Kluyveromyces lactis: one gene and its partner. The protein of the gene in region 2 interacts with the protein of the main gene of each other region in a pairwise test. Links are inferred from orthologs where the notes say so. Each region holds a gene or a part of one and is shown on either strand. Other genes may lie near its edges.

Region 1 (8,684 bases), on a different chromosome or scaffold from region 2:
GTTTCCTGTTATTCCAAGTGAGGTAATTGCTGTACTTTTCACGTTAGCTTCCATCGGAGATCACAATAAGGGTTCGCTAATAAAAAAGGCAGATCCGTTTGACACTGGGAGGGAATTATTAACAAGAAGGAGCATGAAACTTCTAGAGACTTTACTTGATATATTACAGACATTTGATACCGATTTATATGAAATATACGATTTAGAGCTGCTGCGCTGTCAGTTTTTTTACTTTATTGATAGCATCAGACCAGAAAATGGTCGGGCGTTGGTCCTAGATCCGCTAAATGCACAGAGTAGCAGGGCTACCCGGCGATCATTCAAGCTATCATCTCGATCGGCAGAAGGCGGATCTCTTCTCTCGGTGGAGCCATTGTATGGTTCTTATATCAATCTTATAGGCGATGACACCAGCGTCTTCAAAACAACGATGGTGCATAGTGCCTTATCACAAGAGGGTTCTTTTTGGAACGGTTTTAGTTGGGCATTGTCTACATTTATGATAGGACATGAAAATGAGGACCAAAAAACAGATTGGGACTACGAGCTGGCCAAAGCATGGTTAAGTGTTTTCAAATTAATCTTTATTATCTATGAACTTCGGCAGGATTATTACATCGACTCTAAGACGGAGACCATAGAAAAATCCCCTATATTTAGATTATTAGAAGCTGTTGATAAAAAAAATCAATTGAAAGGGCTTGTTCAATATCTCTTTGTTGGTTGTGTTGAGTGCGAAATATTGTACCCTGTTTCCCCCTCACTAAATGATCCCTCTACATCAAATGCTTCTTTCAATCAATTTCACGAAGATAAGGACTATCGAGCAGCATTTTCAATGGATGTCAGAAAGGATACACTTTGTGTCTTCGTAAGATTCTTGGATCGTTATGAAAGACATTTACAGAGCTACCCATTCACACTTGACGCATTGTATGGCACAATTGTTGATGCACTGTATAGTGATTTAAAAATTAGTTCGTTCAAACAGTTCTTCCTCTCATGCGATGTAGAAAAGGACAGAAATTTGATAACAACATTGGTTGAAAAGTTATTGAATAAGGCGTTTAGTAATGTTGAGCCAAGGCGGACTTTCAACATTGTTAACAAGATGTCGAATTTTGAAGAAGTGACTTCAGAATTAATGAAATTGCTCAGAGCCATAGACAGGTCTGCGGCATTCAACCGTTCTCGAATTTCGAAGCGGAGAATACAGATGGATTTTTGCATAATTATATTGACTAGGTTAATCATAACTACTCATCCACAAGGGAACTTTGAAGAACTTCTGAGAGTTTTGACCACATTTGCGAAGTCTCCGAACTCTTTCATGGATGTGAAAGACGTGATACCCTTGTTCGAGCAGACCTATTAATATTACTTTATCTATTCAAACTAATCAATAATATGGGTCTCCTTTTCGAATGAGCTCTTAACATGTACAATAGAGTTCATGACATTTTTTACTGCAACGACATGCCACGGAATGAAATTATCTTTTCCATAGGATACTCCGAACCATGGATTCAAACCTGCCAAGTTTCTGTATTGTTTTAAGATTTCCTTCAAAAGTGTTGAACTGTCTGCATGAGGGCAGTTCAAAAGATTTACCTCAAATTTATCAATGAAGTTATCGCCTTCGCTTTTTGCAAAACGAATCAATGCTCCACTTTTGATGGCGCATCTATGCTGGGAGTTTGCTAGCTGCAACGGGTTACTGAATATTAGTCCATGGACTTCCTCATCAATGTTAATTATCTCAAGATCGTCTATACTGTTTGATATTCCTGTCTGCGGATTCGATTTCGTTCTGAACAAGTTTTTAAATGTTGGGTATGTTTTGTCCTCATCGAATAATGTTAATTTCGTGTTATCTCCGACACAGACCACAGCAAGATGGAGATCTTTTGTGGCGACTGATAGACGTCTCCAATGGATCAATTCGTCATCAGGAAGGACACTATCGAGTCTTGTCAACACCAAGCAAACATTTCCAAAATTCTTAGACGCCAATTGTAGGGTTATTTTCCAGATGTCATTGCACACTTGTTCGAAACGAGTTCTGGAGTTACCGACATACCAGGTTTTCACGAAGCTTTCGACGCCTTTGGTGTCTGACCAGGCAGCACACAGCCACTCACGATCAATACTTCTCAAGTATGCCAAATGGATGTAGTTATCGTAATGGATAGATAAGGAGGCATTCTTCAGTGTCCGGAACTCAATTTGTTTGGGTAAATCATTTGTTAGGGACGTTACCTTAGTACTTTTTGGTGGTAGACTATTATAGATTGCCATACACAATGAAGTGTACGCAGTGATAGGTGTAAGTGGATTTTTGAGGAAATCTATATTCACGAGCCTCAACAAAATATCTGCCTTTGGTAACTTAGATTTGAACTCCTTCCTGATTACATGAAACTTGAGGATCATTGATATACATTCTGTTAATGAAAGTTTGTTGATGGGGAGAAAGATGAGTAAAGGAATGTTCTTAATATTTGAGAGTGCTGTTGAACAGAAAGATACAATCTGTGCGGAAAGAAGTAGTAAGGTGTCTTGGTTAAAATTTTTTAAGTATATTAACCCTTTATTATCGTCATTAGTCAACTTAGTCAGTTCACAGAACCCTAACTCATGATTCGAATATGTCTGAGACATTTGTGATACGAAAGACATGCAATCATTTTTTGCCTCAGTGGTTAGCACTAGGGCCCTGAAATTTTTTACCCCACGGTTGGGTTTCAGATTTAAATATTCCGTGAAATAACACGATGAGCTTTTTATTTTAATTGTATCTTCAGATTTCTTCACAAACACTGATGGTTCAGGCAAATAGAAGACTTCCTCTATTATTTCGTTTCCGTGAAGCTTTGAAAAATTCCCAAAAAGCTGGTTCATGGTATCGCTGATGGTGCCAACGGAGCAATCCTTGATCCCTTTAAACTGAGATTCTGTTGCCCTATCATCAGAAAACATATCATTATTGAAGACTATCTGATCTGTCAAAATCTCTAGAATATCCTCGAAGTCTTTTCCGGGCGGCAAAGATGGATTCTGACAAAGGAACACGTCAGGCAACGAGAACAAAGGCATGTGTCTCAAAAGGTAGGGGAGAATTCTAGATGATTCAGATTGTTCTTGCTCTGCGGTTTGAATAGTTTGTTCGCTTTTGGGGTCGATTTCAACCGTGGAAAGAAAGTTAGCTGATGAACTTCTTGGTTTTGAATTATCATATAGAGTATCCGGTCCGAGAGAAGGCGTATTCTCAAAGTAAGTTGTGGGATTTGAGTTTGAGCTGTTATTGCAGTCGTTTATGACCCCATTAATTGTCTGGTTTGGTAGATCAGCTCTTTCTGATTTACTTAAGGCGGGCTTCCATATTGCGTCTAAGTTGGACTTAACAGGTTTTTCCATTAGAGTTCCGATCGTATTATAAGATGCCACAGAATCATCTTTGGAAGAAGATGGTGGGTTTATCAATTCGGGAAGAGAGTCCTTTGCAATAGGTTCGTATGTTGATGACTCGATCATTGGTATATCATTGTCTCTTGGATCATATGATAAGCCCTTTCCTGCAGATGGTCCATTATTGTTGAAATCAGCAGGAGAAAAATCGCTATCATCATCTTCTGAGCTTGATATATTACTTGTACTTATCCCAAATTGTATTGGTTCGTCATTGGTGTTCGAGTTAACAGAAAACTTACCTCCATTCTTGTACTTGTTATCCACATTACTTTCAAAGATGGGGTTGAAATTGAGTGGTGCGAATATACTTTTCTTTCTGTCTTTTGGGGTTTCAATAGGCAAAGGTGCTCCTGGATCTTCGTATAATGTAGGTGTCTTTTCTATAGTAATGACATCCACTGGTATGTCCAAATAGGTACGCTTTGTTCTTGTCTTCTTTTCGTCAGTATCAATAGACTCGATGGTGTCGGGACGATCAAACTTTAACGAGTTACTAGTTGATCCGTCAGCCTCATCGTCATCTTCGGCTAGATCAAACATTTCGTCAGTAATCTCTTTTACAGATACCAGTTCTTCGTTCTTATTTCGCGTACTGACATCTTCGTCGCTATCTTCACCAAAAAGATCTTTGTCGAATTCTACATGCTCGTGTTCCTCTATCGAAATATTCTGAGCGGGAGATTCAAAAGCGGTTTCCAGTTCTACTTTACGCTCAGAACTACCTACTGATGCGTCCTTTGAGTTGATATTGGATGTACTATTTATTACATCCTTTTTCTCATTCCAAAGATCGTTCTGAGGTTTTACGGAAGGAGTTTCTGTTATAATATCATCAACGGTTGGAGTGATATTCTCATTTATTATTGGAGTTGTAATGAAACCATTACTGCTGTAACTCTCTGTGGGGAAATTCTGTCTACTAGTTTTATTATCTCGCAGAGGTGTTACGTTTGGATCATTAGAGTATTCCGGAGAAAACTTACCATTCTCTCCCGTTGAAGATACGTTATTGCTGTTATTGGCCGAATGCTTATTAAACCCTTGAAACTGATCAGTAAATATTCCTCCCGTACTTAATGGGTTATGTCCGGTTACAGTTCCCATCCCTGCAGATGTTCCAGGCGTTCTGTAGGCCGAAGTGAGTTTTAACTGTATAAATCCATCTATCATATCGAAACAATCATCTAACTCAAGCTGCGGGGATCTTGAAAATGCAGTATATTGAGGAGTTTGAACGTCAGATGCTGTTTGTACAAAACAGAGACATGCCGGCCAGATAACGAAATTATTTCCTTTTGGTTCGTCAAGATAATGTGATATTGTTGGAGTGAAGCCATTCAAATGGTTAGCATTTGGAATAAGCTTTACCCATTTCAAACCGTCGACATCGATTAAATTTATTCCATGGGAGACAAATAGTGTCTTGAGAAACATTTGAGCGTTTTTGGGTGGTGATACATAACATTTCTTTAAATCTGTGGATGGTAAATACACTCTGATCCCAGATGGAGCCAAATACACAGCCACTTCATGTTTGAGGCTCTCTGCATTCAACTTCGATAAACCCAAATCCTTGGAACAAATTGCAACAGTCAAATCTCCATTTTCAAATAGATGTGGATCAAAGTGTAAGATTTTGGTCGAAAAGGTATATGATTCCTGAAATATGCATGAGTTTCCAAAGGGCACGATGGTTTCATTGGAGGATAGGGTCAAATTGACATATATCATACGCCTGAGAGCCTTCATAAAGATGGCATATGGGGTAGGCAAGTGAGGTTTTGAGAATTCTGGGGTGAAGTGACCCTTCCGCTCTGGCTGGGGTGACTCCGATTCGTTATTCAGCTCAAGGTTTAACTCTGGTAATGGATCATCGTTAATACTAAAACACCATAACTCCCTGGAAAAAAGAGCTGCAAGTACTTTGGGGTTTTTCCTCCTTAGGAACAACTCTGCTTGAATTGACCATTGATTATCTGCCTTGCTAGGTACATATTGGTGATAGTTTATTTGTTTGACAGTTTCTAACCTGTATAAATTGGTAACGATGTCCTCCAATCGACATGCGTCCCCAACCTCCTTTTTCATGGTTTCCGTTGCTCTGATGAAAAGTAAGCTGGATAGTCAGACTGATTAGGATGCAACGGTACTTCAAAAATCCGTACTTGTTAAGAGATGCTGTCTAGTTACCTTCTTTTAAAATTATACGATTTTATCTCGAGTTATCACTACTTATAATAATGAATCGCTTGATCATTATAAAACAAAAACAAAAAAGATTGCCAATACAAAACAATGAATGACAGGTACCAAAGCATAAAGCTAAACGCACCCCCCGTGATTAGCGGCGCACTCTCAATTGGAAACGCAGTATAACCTGTACTTCTGCTAACAGTGGTTGGCGTATGCCAAGATGGCAATAAAACTGACTGAAGAGAACGACACTGAGTCATCAGATAGTGGTATTCTGCTTTTAAGGGAAACAGGGTCACTTGGTATCGGGGATGTCAATCGCTATAAGATAATTGTAGATAAAAATAAGCTACTATCTGACGGAATTGAGTGTACTGACGATACTCTCTATCTCGAATTCAAAAACCAGGAGAGCGCGCTTTTGAGGCCGTTATGGATAACTGGACCATACTCAATTTATGTTGAAATAACGCCGAACAATTATGACGAGAGAAAGCAATTCATAGGAGATGGAATTGAGTTCATGAGTGACCTCAAGCCTGATGAGAATTTCAAAGCGAAACTTTATCTCAATTCTAATGCTCGAGTTGACGGTACTTCTTGTTATGCTTGGAAGATTGACCTTATTGCCCAGTTCACTGTCGTTACCATTGTAAGGCTTCCATTCGTCTTCACGCTAGCTACAACATACAAAACTGCTAAACATTCCCAGAAAGACAAGAATATAGAAGTTCAGCAGACTGATGGGTTGAAAATTTCCAAACTTGACACTGAACAGTTGTGGAATTTACCTCCGCCATTTCCAGATAAGCCAGTTCATCTCGTAATTATTACACATGGCATCTTCTCTTCTATTGGCGGAGATATGCTTTGCTTAAAAGACACCATTGAACGAGCGTCGAACTTTTTGCCAGATGATAATAATGGCAATCTTGTAATAAGAGGGTATCCTGGAAACGTCGGGAAGTCTCATAAAGGTATACGGCATCTAGGATTCAAGTTGGCAGAATATATAATCGATACCATCGATAAACTTCAACAGCAATTCACCTTAACAAGAATCTCATTTGTAGGTCACTCTTTGGGAGGACCCGTGCAAGCTATGGCCATTCACTATATCTCTGTCGAACGACCAGACATATTTGACAAGACCACAGGCTTGACACCCGTCAATTTTGTGGCGGCGGCGAGCCCATTCCTCGGAGTCATTGGAGATTTGCCCAAATACATATCTATCGTGCTGGACATTGGCGCTTTGGGACAGACTGGAAGGGATCTCACATTGAAGCGCAGCTATTTTCTGCCATCAAAAGGTATTGTAAATAATGATGGATCACATGATAGAATCAAATCTAAACCCATATTAGAGCTTTTACCTAAACATCCGGCGTTAGAAGTTTTCCAACGATTCAAGTGTAGAACCGTGTATGCTAATGTCGCATTTGATGGTATAGTGCCTCTAAGGACGGCTGCTTTACTATATCTTGATTGGAGAGGTTTAAGTGATGTGCAACAGGTGAGGAGCGAAAACAATGCCCAATCTGAGGAGGGAGTTGAAGAACAGAAAGGGTCATCTTTGGGGGAAATTCCAGAGAGCTCTTCGGACAATAAGTCTATTCTCCAATGGTTGCTGCCCCAGTCACTCATTAAAAAGGAAAAATATAAACCGTATGTGCGGACTCAAACTACCAGTTCGGTAGAATCTGCCAGTAGTGATTCGAACAATAATTCTGACTCTCCAACTACTTTCAAACCTCCAAAAAAGGCAAATACATTGCAAGCTGCTGCAAGTACAATATCGGCACCGCTGCCAGGAATGTCGTACCTAGTGGATCCCTCCAGTAGAACGGACAGAATTATTCATGACAAGGTTTATACCCCGGAAGAATTACCAGATAAACACTACAAACATAAGAAGCTTGTGAAAAAGATAATATATCCCAATTACTCGATCCATATGAAAGAAGAACGAATAGCAAGGTACTGGCAGGAGACAATGGACTGGAGAAAGGTCATCGTTGAGCTACAGCCTGATTCCCATAATAACATCATTGTTCGTCGCAGGTTTGTTAATTCATTCGGTTGGATAGTTGTCAATCATATTGCCGATGAACACTTTGGATCGAAGGCAATGATAGAATGAATGATGACTATAGTAATAATAATATCATTAAAAGTTCAACTGTATATAAATAAAATAAATTAGTAGTCTATAGATCGCGTTCTCAGAGGATACGAGGCTTCACACCTCTGGTATCTTTTCCTTTTTGTGGTTGGTGGTTTCATTCGTTACTAGGATCTAAGGGATCGATCTTGAGTACTTTATCTGGATTCAACAGTCTCTTTGGATCTATAGCTAACTTTACTTTCCGCATTAGATCGACAGTATCTGATCCTAATTCATCCTCCAAAAACTTTCTTTTACCAGTTCCAATACCATGCTCCCCAGAACACGTACCTTCATTTTTAAGAGTAACAGCATTGATTTCAGCTACCAGCTGTTTGCAAATTTCAAACTGATCCGGTTCATAGAAAATATCATAGTGGATATTCCCGTCACCAACATGACCCAAGGTCATATGAGTTAGAGGGTAAGTTGCTGTGATTTTATCCAATTCTTCGAGAGTAGCTGCAAGATTGGAAAGTGGCACTGCACAATCTGTGATCCACATCTTTGCGTTTTCATCAATTTCATTGAAGGCATAGTCCAACATTAGATATAAAGCATTCTTTCTAGTTGAAAAAAGCTCCTCTGCCTCTTGTTCGTTCTTTGCAAATTCGAATTTGGAACAGTGATTATCCTGAGAAATTTGTTTAACTTGCTTGACATATTCTTGTACCACGGTTTTGTTCAATCCTGAAATCTTGAAGAACAAAGTAGGTACATTATCATATTTTTTGCTCACCAAATTGCTGTAATTAATACATTTCATCATGCTTGAATCCAATAATTCTACTGCATTTAATTGAATACCTTTTTGGAAGAGTTCTGCGACAGTATTTGTGGAGTCCTTTAAAGT
Region 2 (8,810 bases):
AAAAGTTACCTGAAAATCAATGGACACTAAATGACATTATAAGTTGCAGAATGCAACAAAAGGATCAATTAGAAGCTTCTCCAAAGAAAAAAATAAAACTTGCGAAGACAGCAGCTCAATTAGGGATTAATGACTCCAAGGGTTCCCAGGTGGGAGAAACTTCATTTATGCAATCTGTTGAAAAGAATAAAGATGTTTTCTTAGACTTTAAGAAGAACAAAGAAAAAGCCACAAAACCCAACACAATCTTGGATGACAGTTATGATGTCTTCAGTTTTGACAACAATGGAACGAGCAACTTTGTGATACCTGAAGAGGCGTTCCCTGCTCAGAGCAGTAAAAAGAATAAAACCGAAAAATCAAGCCCAATGAAGCCTTTAAAAGAGCAACTGGAACTTATTGATACTGATATAGCATTCAGCGATGAAAGTGAAAATGATAGTGATTACTCTCCCAATGACAACCAGGACGGAGTTCATTCATCACCTGTTCAAAGTTTACCAGATCGTGAACGAGATTTGCTTCGGCCTAAGCAGAATCCAATAGATGAGCCAGAACTCGCCAATGACGTTTCAAGAGCTCAAAATAGAATGGAACAGGGTGCCGATATTAGCAATGAGCTAGTCGAAAGTCACGCTAACAATTTGGGTGCGGATAACACGGAGCGAAGAACTTCAAACCGATTATCAGATGAATGGTCTTTATCTTTAACATTCCAAGATGTCAACGGGCAAGGAACACCAGATGTATCGCCCTCCAACAAGCCAAAAGTATCTTTCGCACCATTTCCCTCCTCACCAGACGTGGACACTAAAGCTGTCATTAACAATTCTAACCATTCTACGGATCACCCACATCTGGATCAAAAATACCAAGATGCAGAATCAATAACGCAGACCACTCCTATTGAAAGCCTACCAAAATGGAACGTATTACATAACAGTGAGCTAACTTCCTTGAGTGAGGATGTCTTAACACTTAATAAGTATTTCAGCGATCTGTTATTGTACATGAATAGAATTGATGCTTCATTGGCTTCTGATTTAACGGGTGAGCTGACTTTTTTCATAAACAGCATGCCTAATGAGGAGCTTGCCCTGAACTTCAAGAACTGGATTGATCAGAAAGGAAAGGAGATTTTTGAATCTTTTGAAACCACCATTAATACAAAAATAGAGACATTACAACGACAATTCTCAACAGCAAAGGAATTCATACAGCAAATCGATGACGACTCCGTCTTGCTTGAGTTTGCTAATAGGTTTAATATTGACTTCTGACGAAATACGTCAACTACATAAAAACAGAGACACAAACATAGGGGTTTCTACATATATCGATTGACCAAACAACGGCGTCGAAAAATTGTATTAGTATTATTAGTATTATAATTGTTATCATTATCATCGACACTACGATCATATTTCTCCGTGCTAATTTCTTCACTTAACTTGAGTTACTCCTCAATGATTTGATCATCCGGAGTTTCTCTATTCTGTTCGTTTCCGGGAGGTAAGAAGAGCCTCAAATCTATATTATTATCATTGTTATCAGTTTCTTCAGCCACAGTTCCTCCTGGTGGTAATAGCATATTGACACCCATGTCAATATCTCCCTCTCCGTCAGGAAGATCATTAGCAGCCTCTCTGTCCCATGTTTCCCTGGCACGTTGTAAAACCAATTCTCTTTGACGGGTAAGTACTGTCAAACTTTCCTTCACGTAAATTCTCAACACTAAAGCTGTAATCTTAAAATTTCTCATTAAATCCTTGAAGCAAGGTGACCACCACTTTTTCCACAGCACAAATCCTAAGAGGTCTTTTGGCTCTTCTGAAGCTTTAATTCTCTGATATATTTCTGAGATATATCTGTTTAAATCGACGAATGTTATGTAAATCGAAGACATTTCTGCAATTAACGTACCACAATATTGGAATTGGATCCTGCATAAACTGGCGACATTGACTTCAAAATCTAACACACGATTCAATATTTTACGGAATTTCCTTATAACATCAGCGAGTTCATTATTAATATTAGAAGAAGCCGGTGGTGCAACCGTAACATATCTATCCGTAAACCTTGGATCAAGCGGATTATCGTAAAAAGATCGGTCGAAATCTTCCAGTGCAGTAAGATCAGCAGAGCTTACAACATGCTCATCTTCAGAAGTTATCAGCATGGATGAGAATACATGGTCAAGATGAGCAAATTCAATTTGGTTAAAAGGCTCATTAGCGAAATTGAAGACTGCAGAAGCTGCAAACAATGCGGCAGAATCAAGATCGGCGTTATGGGATAACCTTTCAAGATCCTCATCTTCAATAGTGTCAGACTGTATTGCGTTTTTGTTTTTTAAAAAGCTGATGAAAATTTCGTCAGATTTGGTGCTAGGTCCATCGGTAGGTTCATGAATACCCATTAAATGATGACGCAACTTATGAACGCCCTTTCCGGAAAATACACAGAATATCTGCCTTTGATTAGCGGTAAATTCACTGGGGGGAGAACGACAAAACTGCGTGATATCGGGACGAAGAAAAGATGGAACTGCAGTTAGCGATAAGTGCGATAACTTGGGGCATGCCATCAACAATTCATATATAGGATAGATCGTTAGACTGGTACAGTAAGATAGATGGACTCTCTCTAACGTGTCATTCCTTCCGCGAATGCTTATCATTGTTAAAAGTCCCTCATCTGTAATCTGAGAGCACTTAACCATACCTATTCTTTTAAGTTTGGGCAACTCAGCGAGTTCGTAAAGGGTTTTGTTTGTCAAATTGGTGCAACAAGCAAAATCGATATATTGAATCTTGGGGCAATTGCTTACTAAAACCCTGACACCTTCATCTGAAATATTGAAACAGTGACCAAAATGCATTGTCTGTATATTTTTTCCCAATCTTGCCAACGACTTTAGAGCGGAATCTGTGATACGGCTGCATTTCCCCAAAAATAAGTTTCTTAGCTTGGGTGCTAAAGTAACAAGTTTATCAATTGTCTTGTCCGTGATGTTTTCGCAACCAGAGAAGTCGACTAGTCTTAATGCAGGTAATCCCATGGTTTCCTGAGAAACCGCCAACATAAACTCATCGGTGATGTTCGTGTTATGCGTGACTCTGATTTCTCTTAATTGAGGTAAAGAGGTGAATAGCGTAACCAAGCCATGATTATCAATATTCGGTGTTGACGTTAAATCCACCTCTACGAGAAATGGACAACATTTGACCATTTTCATCACCAAATCATTTTCAATAGATTGATTAAAAGTTATTTTGACACGTTTTAACATCGGCGCGTGAGTGATAAAATTCGAGATAGCATTAGGTGAGACATCGTTTGAATGAGGAACATAAAGTCCCTGAATCCTCTCACAATCCGATGCTAATACTTCAAACAAATCATCTCTAATGTGATGAATACCAGTTATGTCGACACTTTGTAAATATTGACAACCCTTTAAAACTTTTGCCACAGATTTGGTTGTAATATATTTACAGAAAACCAAAGTAAGTCTTTCAAGGTTAGGACACCCAATGAAATGTTCTAGTTTTCTATCTGTCATATAGTCACCAACGAATGAAAAATTTAAACGTTTTATCAAGCTCCTGTAATCAAATAGCGTCTCTTCCTTAGGCTTGCTCATGGTAATCAAAAAAGAATTCAATTGCTGCTGTTTATTGATATGGGGACGATAATATATGAGTTTTGCAATGACTTCAGCCCAAGCCTTAGAAACAGCCATTAAGGGAACAATATTGGCTTTTTGACTTTTTGCTTCTAAAACCATTGCTAGGATTTCATGAGGAAGATCAGATAACGGGAAAGTGTTCTTTGGTGTTTTGATTCTGGTATATAATGCATTATCTTTAGAAACCATTGAGAGCATCTGGGGCAACTGGCTTCTCACGTGATTAGACATAAACTTCCATTCCTCTTCTGAGACATGCATATCATATAAAGCCAAGTCCAATCCTCTTTTTGTCCAAGGAGAGTATTTCAAAAACAAATCGCGATAGTAATAAATAGGATTTGGTACGTTAGGGTTGGTATTCTTTCTTTTATAGTAGTCATGTATCGATCTCGCCATCCTTTTGATAATTTCCGAATATTTTTCTTGATAGGAATGTAGAGAATAGAGTTCCATTTCGATTGCCCTTAAAATAACTCTTTGCTGTTTCATAATTGTTGATTTTAGATGTTCAACAACTTCCGTCGACAAATTACTCTCCGCTAAAAATGCTGAATAGTTTAGGTCACGAAGTCGCTGGATTCCTAGCTGCAAAGACTCCTTAAGATAGTTTTTTCTTAATTCTATAATACCTAATGCAAATTTAAATCTGTATCTTGAAAGTTCGACAATTTCACTTAATGCTGTAGTGTCTTCTGGTGTAAGTTGGACTTGCTTCAGTAAGAAATCCAACAACGCTTCCTTTTCGGTCCAGTTAGAGCTGTCATCTAATGCTTCTTTTTGCATTTTGAGAACAAAATTCTCAATATTTTGTCTTGCCCTCATATCGATTTTGTGTTTATCAAAATATTCTTGTAATTGTTCAGAATCACCTTCGATCGGTGGTAATTTCCATCCTTCTTTTTCTATGTTTTCAAACAACTGTCTTAAATCATCTTCAATTTGTGCAATGCCACTAAGGGCGGATTTCCGCTCTCTAGCCAAAAATGGTCTTTGGTGTAAAGACAGTTTACTAGGATTCATGGTAGTAAACCAGTCAGCAGGCAGACCAGAAGATACATGAGCACTTTCCCTCGATAAGTTAGCTTCACGAGCAGCTCCCCGCGTCAATTCTTCGAAATGGTCAGCGGTATTATTATCTATATCAGTACTTCTTCTGTTATCTTCGTCAGTTCCTGTAGTATTCAGTATTTCACCGTCGATATTGTTATTACTATTATTATCGTTAGTTCCGTTATTGATCAGTTGATTTGATCTGAAAATATCAGAAAGGGTATCGTTTCCAAGAATGCTAAGATTCCTATTATTAAGAGCCTCCCAATTAAGCTCATTCTCATCCGTCAGCTCATCCACTCTTAACGGAATTGCATCCCTGCTGCCTGTCTGGCCCCTCCTGGCTTGTGCTCTTAAATTCCAAGCAGCGCCAGGACTGACCTGAAACTGCCATTCAGAATTATCGGATGCCGGTTGCTGTGGGTCCATTGTAGCGTAGCAATTTTAAGTATCACTCAAAATAGTACAAATACTTCCTTTTGAGTTTCATCTACTATTGGCTCCACTTAATTGGACCTGTATTTTATCACATAAAACGTTTAATCAGCAAGGAGAGAGCGGTTACCTTTTTTTGTGACATAGAAATTACGCAAAATATACTAAGAAGTATCACAGAAGACGAATACTGTCAAACTAGAGGAAGCTGAGAAGAATAAACTTTGAAGATCGAGGTATATATAATATATTTATGTACATTTAAAAGATGAAAAGGAGAAGTTATATCTATATTATGAGACGAAAGTGTATGAAGTCATCGATCGAGACAGCAGTTTGTGCTGCAAGCTTGTTTTAATAGGTTTTAGGTCGTAAAAATCATCATCCTGGAATAACATAAGTAGGATCAGGAGTCGTTTGCAATAATTGTGTAAGTTTTTGATCATGAAACAGAAGGTGAGAAATAGATGAGAGGGAAGCGAGGGGAGGTTCTTATTATACAGGGATGTTCCCCACAGGATACTTTAGCGTCTTACGTGCCACATTTTCTTTTTTTTTTTAATATTATTAGTATGTAACAATAGCTCGTGAACAAATCAGTGGTTGAACATTCCATCACCAAACTGTCCATTATGATGTCTATTCTGAGAATGGGGGAGTGGTTGACCATTCATTGTTAGTTGCGGCAAGGATATTTGCGTGCCATTATTGAATGTCAGCATATCAAAATTTGACACTAAATCATCATTCAGACCACTGGTTGACGTGGAATACTGATACGGTTGTGAAGCGGGAAACATGCCAGGGTAGGTGTAGTAGCTTGCTTGCCCAGAGATGCCAGAAATGGACGCTTGCTGAGGTTGATGCTGAGGTTGAGATTGGGATTGTTGAGGTAACTGAGCTTGGACCTGAGAAGATTGGATGGGTTGCTGTTGAGATTGTGCGTTCGAGGAGGCTCTTGGTCTAGAAGATGCCGACCTGACACTGTTGACGGAAACAGTCCTCATATGTTGAGGATGGTCATTACCAAAAACATGGGAAATACTCATTCTTGGCTTGGTTTGAGCGGTAGATGGTTGATTGTTTATTGCATTCAAGCCCACTTCTTCCAAGAGTCTGCGATGCTGTGTGATATTAGATTCTGTGGTCAAAATGTAGCGAACTTGTTCGATAACATGGTGTCTAACGTCTCCTTCCAACATAGGAATAGACAAAACTTTATAAACAAAAGATGGTCCATAATTCGTGTCACTCAACAACTGATATAAGAGCTGAGGTGGTTTAGAAGATATTTCGTTATCCATAGGGCCGAAGATAGTATCTAATATAGCCCTTTTGGCAACTTCATCACCACGATAGTTCAAGATTTTCAAAATTGTTAATGAGGCAAGCTTATGACACCCTAATTCGAAAATATTTGGTAATAATGCCTCAGCAAGTATTGAGTGTCTTTTTGGCAAAGTACAAGTGTCTAAGAACCACGTAACCAAAAGGGCCCCATTGCTATTGGTGGCTAAATATTTCACAAAAAACACAATCATAGCACTAAGTAATAAGAGTTGTTCTTGAGTAATTATGTCATGGGCTTCCAAACAAGCTCTGACTGCACGAGCTCCATATCTATTTTGCACGATATTCCAGAAGTTGGAAACAATATTCTCGAAGATAAAGTTGTTCCAAGGGAAACCAAACTTCAACACACATTGAATAACGTAGTTACCAAATTGATCGTTGAACAATGGGGTACAATACTTATAGACTCCGTTTGCCACATACATTTTTTGTCTTGGGGTATCTGCGTTTGTAATCATCTTTTGACATGCCCAAGTACCATTCTTGTGTACACCCATCGATGTCAAATATACGCTTGTCTTTCTTAACATAATATCTTTAATGACGGAAGAGGCATGTTCAAATAGTTTCTGTACTATAGTATTACCTAAATAGTCCGAACTCAGTTCTGGTATTTCATCCAACATAGCTAGAACTAGCTGTTCAATTTCCAAATCTGACATTTGTCCAGAATCAATACTTTTTCGTAATTCACGAAGCCTTGGGGCATCGAACTCCCTTGTAGATAAGGGCTCAGGTAATGGACCGAAATCAGTAGTATCACTTGTTCCATTGTATTCAATTGCGTTTGCAATGATATGCTGGTACTGAGATGTATCATAATTGATACCAAACTTATTAATAGTATCGTTCAACAAAGTGATATTCTCCTTGAAAGATGGTGGTGGTAGTGGGAATGGACATTGTTCCTTCTCAGAATTACTTGAGGATGGATTGGTAGGTGACACAAATGCTTGAGAGCTCGATTGTGCGTGCGTATTGCCAGTAAAAGAAGGAACGGATACGTTACCTTGCTGTTGGAATTGGACTGCGCCTGAGAATAACTGTTCTTGTAGCAGGGACTGAGGGTTGATGGCAGTAGATTGATGGTTATTTTGCTGTTGAGTTTGCTGAGTCTGAGGTAGTTGTTGATGCATAGGTAAGACTTTTGCAAAGGAAACAGTACTTGGAGCACCGACTAGAGATACTTCTTTACCATTCAAAGCCTCTTTTGCCTTGATGGCAGCTTCCACAGAGGCAAATTCAACAATTGCCATATTAACGCCCCTCAAGGTCCGTGCTGAAATGACAGTTCCAAATTTCAAGCACAACGTTGCCAAACTTGTACTCGTCAAATTGACAGTATTGGACAAATGAGGCTGCTGCTGTTGCAATGAAAAGACATTAGAGATGGATATGGTATTAGTTGGTAATAAGTTTGAAATGTGGTTGATCGATGGTACTGATGGATCAGTTGTCACCCAATTGATCGATCTGGAATCCATGTCATCTTGAACAATTGGGTTGGTAGAAGCAGCAGTGGCTTTTAGTTGTGGATCCATAGAAGGTGGTATAATGAAAGTAGAAGCCCTAGATCTAGTATCCATCTGGTCGTAGGTTGGAGCGTCGGTATAGATACTGGACGCATTTGATTGAGACCTAGGTCTCGAATTCCAAACCCCTCCAATTTGTTGAGATTGGAACTGATGGGCACCAGCTGTTGTTGCTCCAGGTACACCCAAGTTATTAATGTTATTAGAACTTGTGTTCAGATCGAAATAGTTACCAGTTGCCTCATAAGGACTATACGTACCTGGTGCTAAATGGCTGTTGTTATTATTATTATTATTATTGACATTAGTTGGATTAGTAGTTGTTTGAATGCCAGGAGGAGACATTGGATTCACACTCATATCGTTAGGGAACCAAACATTGCCGACATTTGGGACCAACCCGTTGACGTTAGAAGGGCCAGTAATTTGAGATGAAACGGTATTGTTCCTAGTTCTGGAAATGGTATTTGATGCAGTTGGTTGAAGCGGGACGCTGTTTGTGGCAAAAGTGAACGAATCACCGGAAAGCCTTGGTTGTGATGGGACCAAAAGACTTGAACTATCCGGAAGATGAATAGCTTGATTGTAATCTACGTCAAGTGGCGGGGTGATATGTCCAGGCACTGACAAATTAATCTGAGCTATAGAACCCGACTTCGAAGTCTGTTCACTGGTATTTGCAGTCGCATCATCCGAGCTTAACTCACCAGAATGGTTACCTTCTCCCACGGCACTACTACCCT

The links. The genes of interacting proteins can lie anywhere in the genome.
Region 1: the proteins of GRR1 (region 2) and SSN2 interact in a two-hybrid assay, tested with the Saccharomyces cerevisiae proteins (2 studies listed by BioGRID). The link is inferred for Kluyveromyces lactis from reciprocal best matches to the Saccharomyces cerevisiae genes GRR1 and SSN2.

Annotation. Positions count from the first base shown.
Region 1 is NC_006038.1:104,825-113,508, forward strand, and holds SSN2 (Ssn2p), read right to left. Parts: upstream 5,560-8,684; coding exon 1,396-5,559; downstream 1-1,395. Other genes in the region: Smc5-Smc6 complex subunit NSE5, read left to right, coding at 1-1,375; KLLA0_B01375g (putative hydrolase), read left to right, coding at 5,885-7,807; KLLA0_B01397g (FAD-binding oxidoreductase), read right to left, coding at 7,947-8,684. UniProt on the Saccharomyces cerevisiae protein: Component of the SRB8-11 complex. The SRB8-11 complex is a regulatory module of the Mediator complex which is itself involved in regulation of basal and activated RNA polymerase II-dependent transcription.
Region 2 is NC_006041.1:542,245-551,054, reverse strand, and holds GRR1 (SCF ubiquitin ligase complex subunit GRR1), read right to left. Parts: upstream 5,177-8,810; coding exon 1,457-5,176; downstream 1-1,456. Other genes in the region: BIR1 (survivin), read left to right, coding at 1-1,280; JSN1 (Jsn1p), read right to left, coding at 5,779-8,810. UniProt on the Saccharomyces cerevisiae protein: Substrate recognition component of a SCF (SKP1-CUL1-F-box protein) E3 ubiquitin-protein ligase complex which mediates the ubiquitination and subsequent proteasomal degradation of target proteins.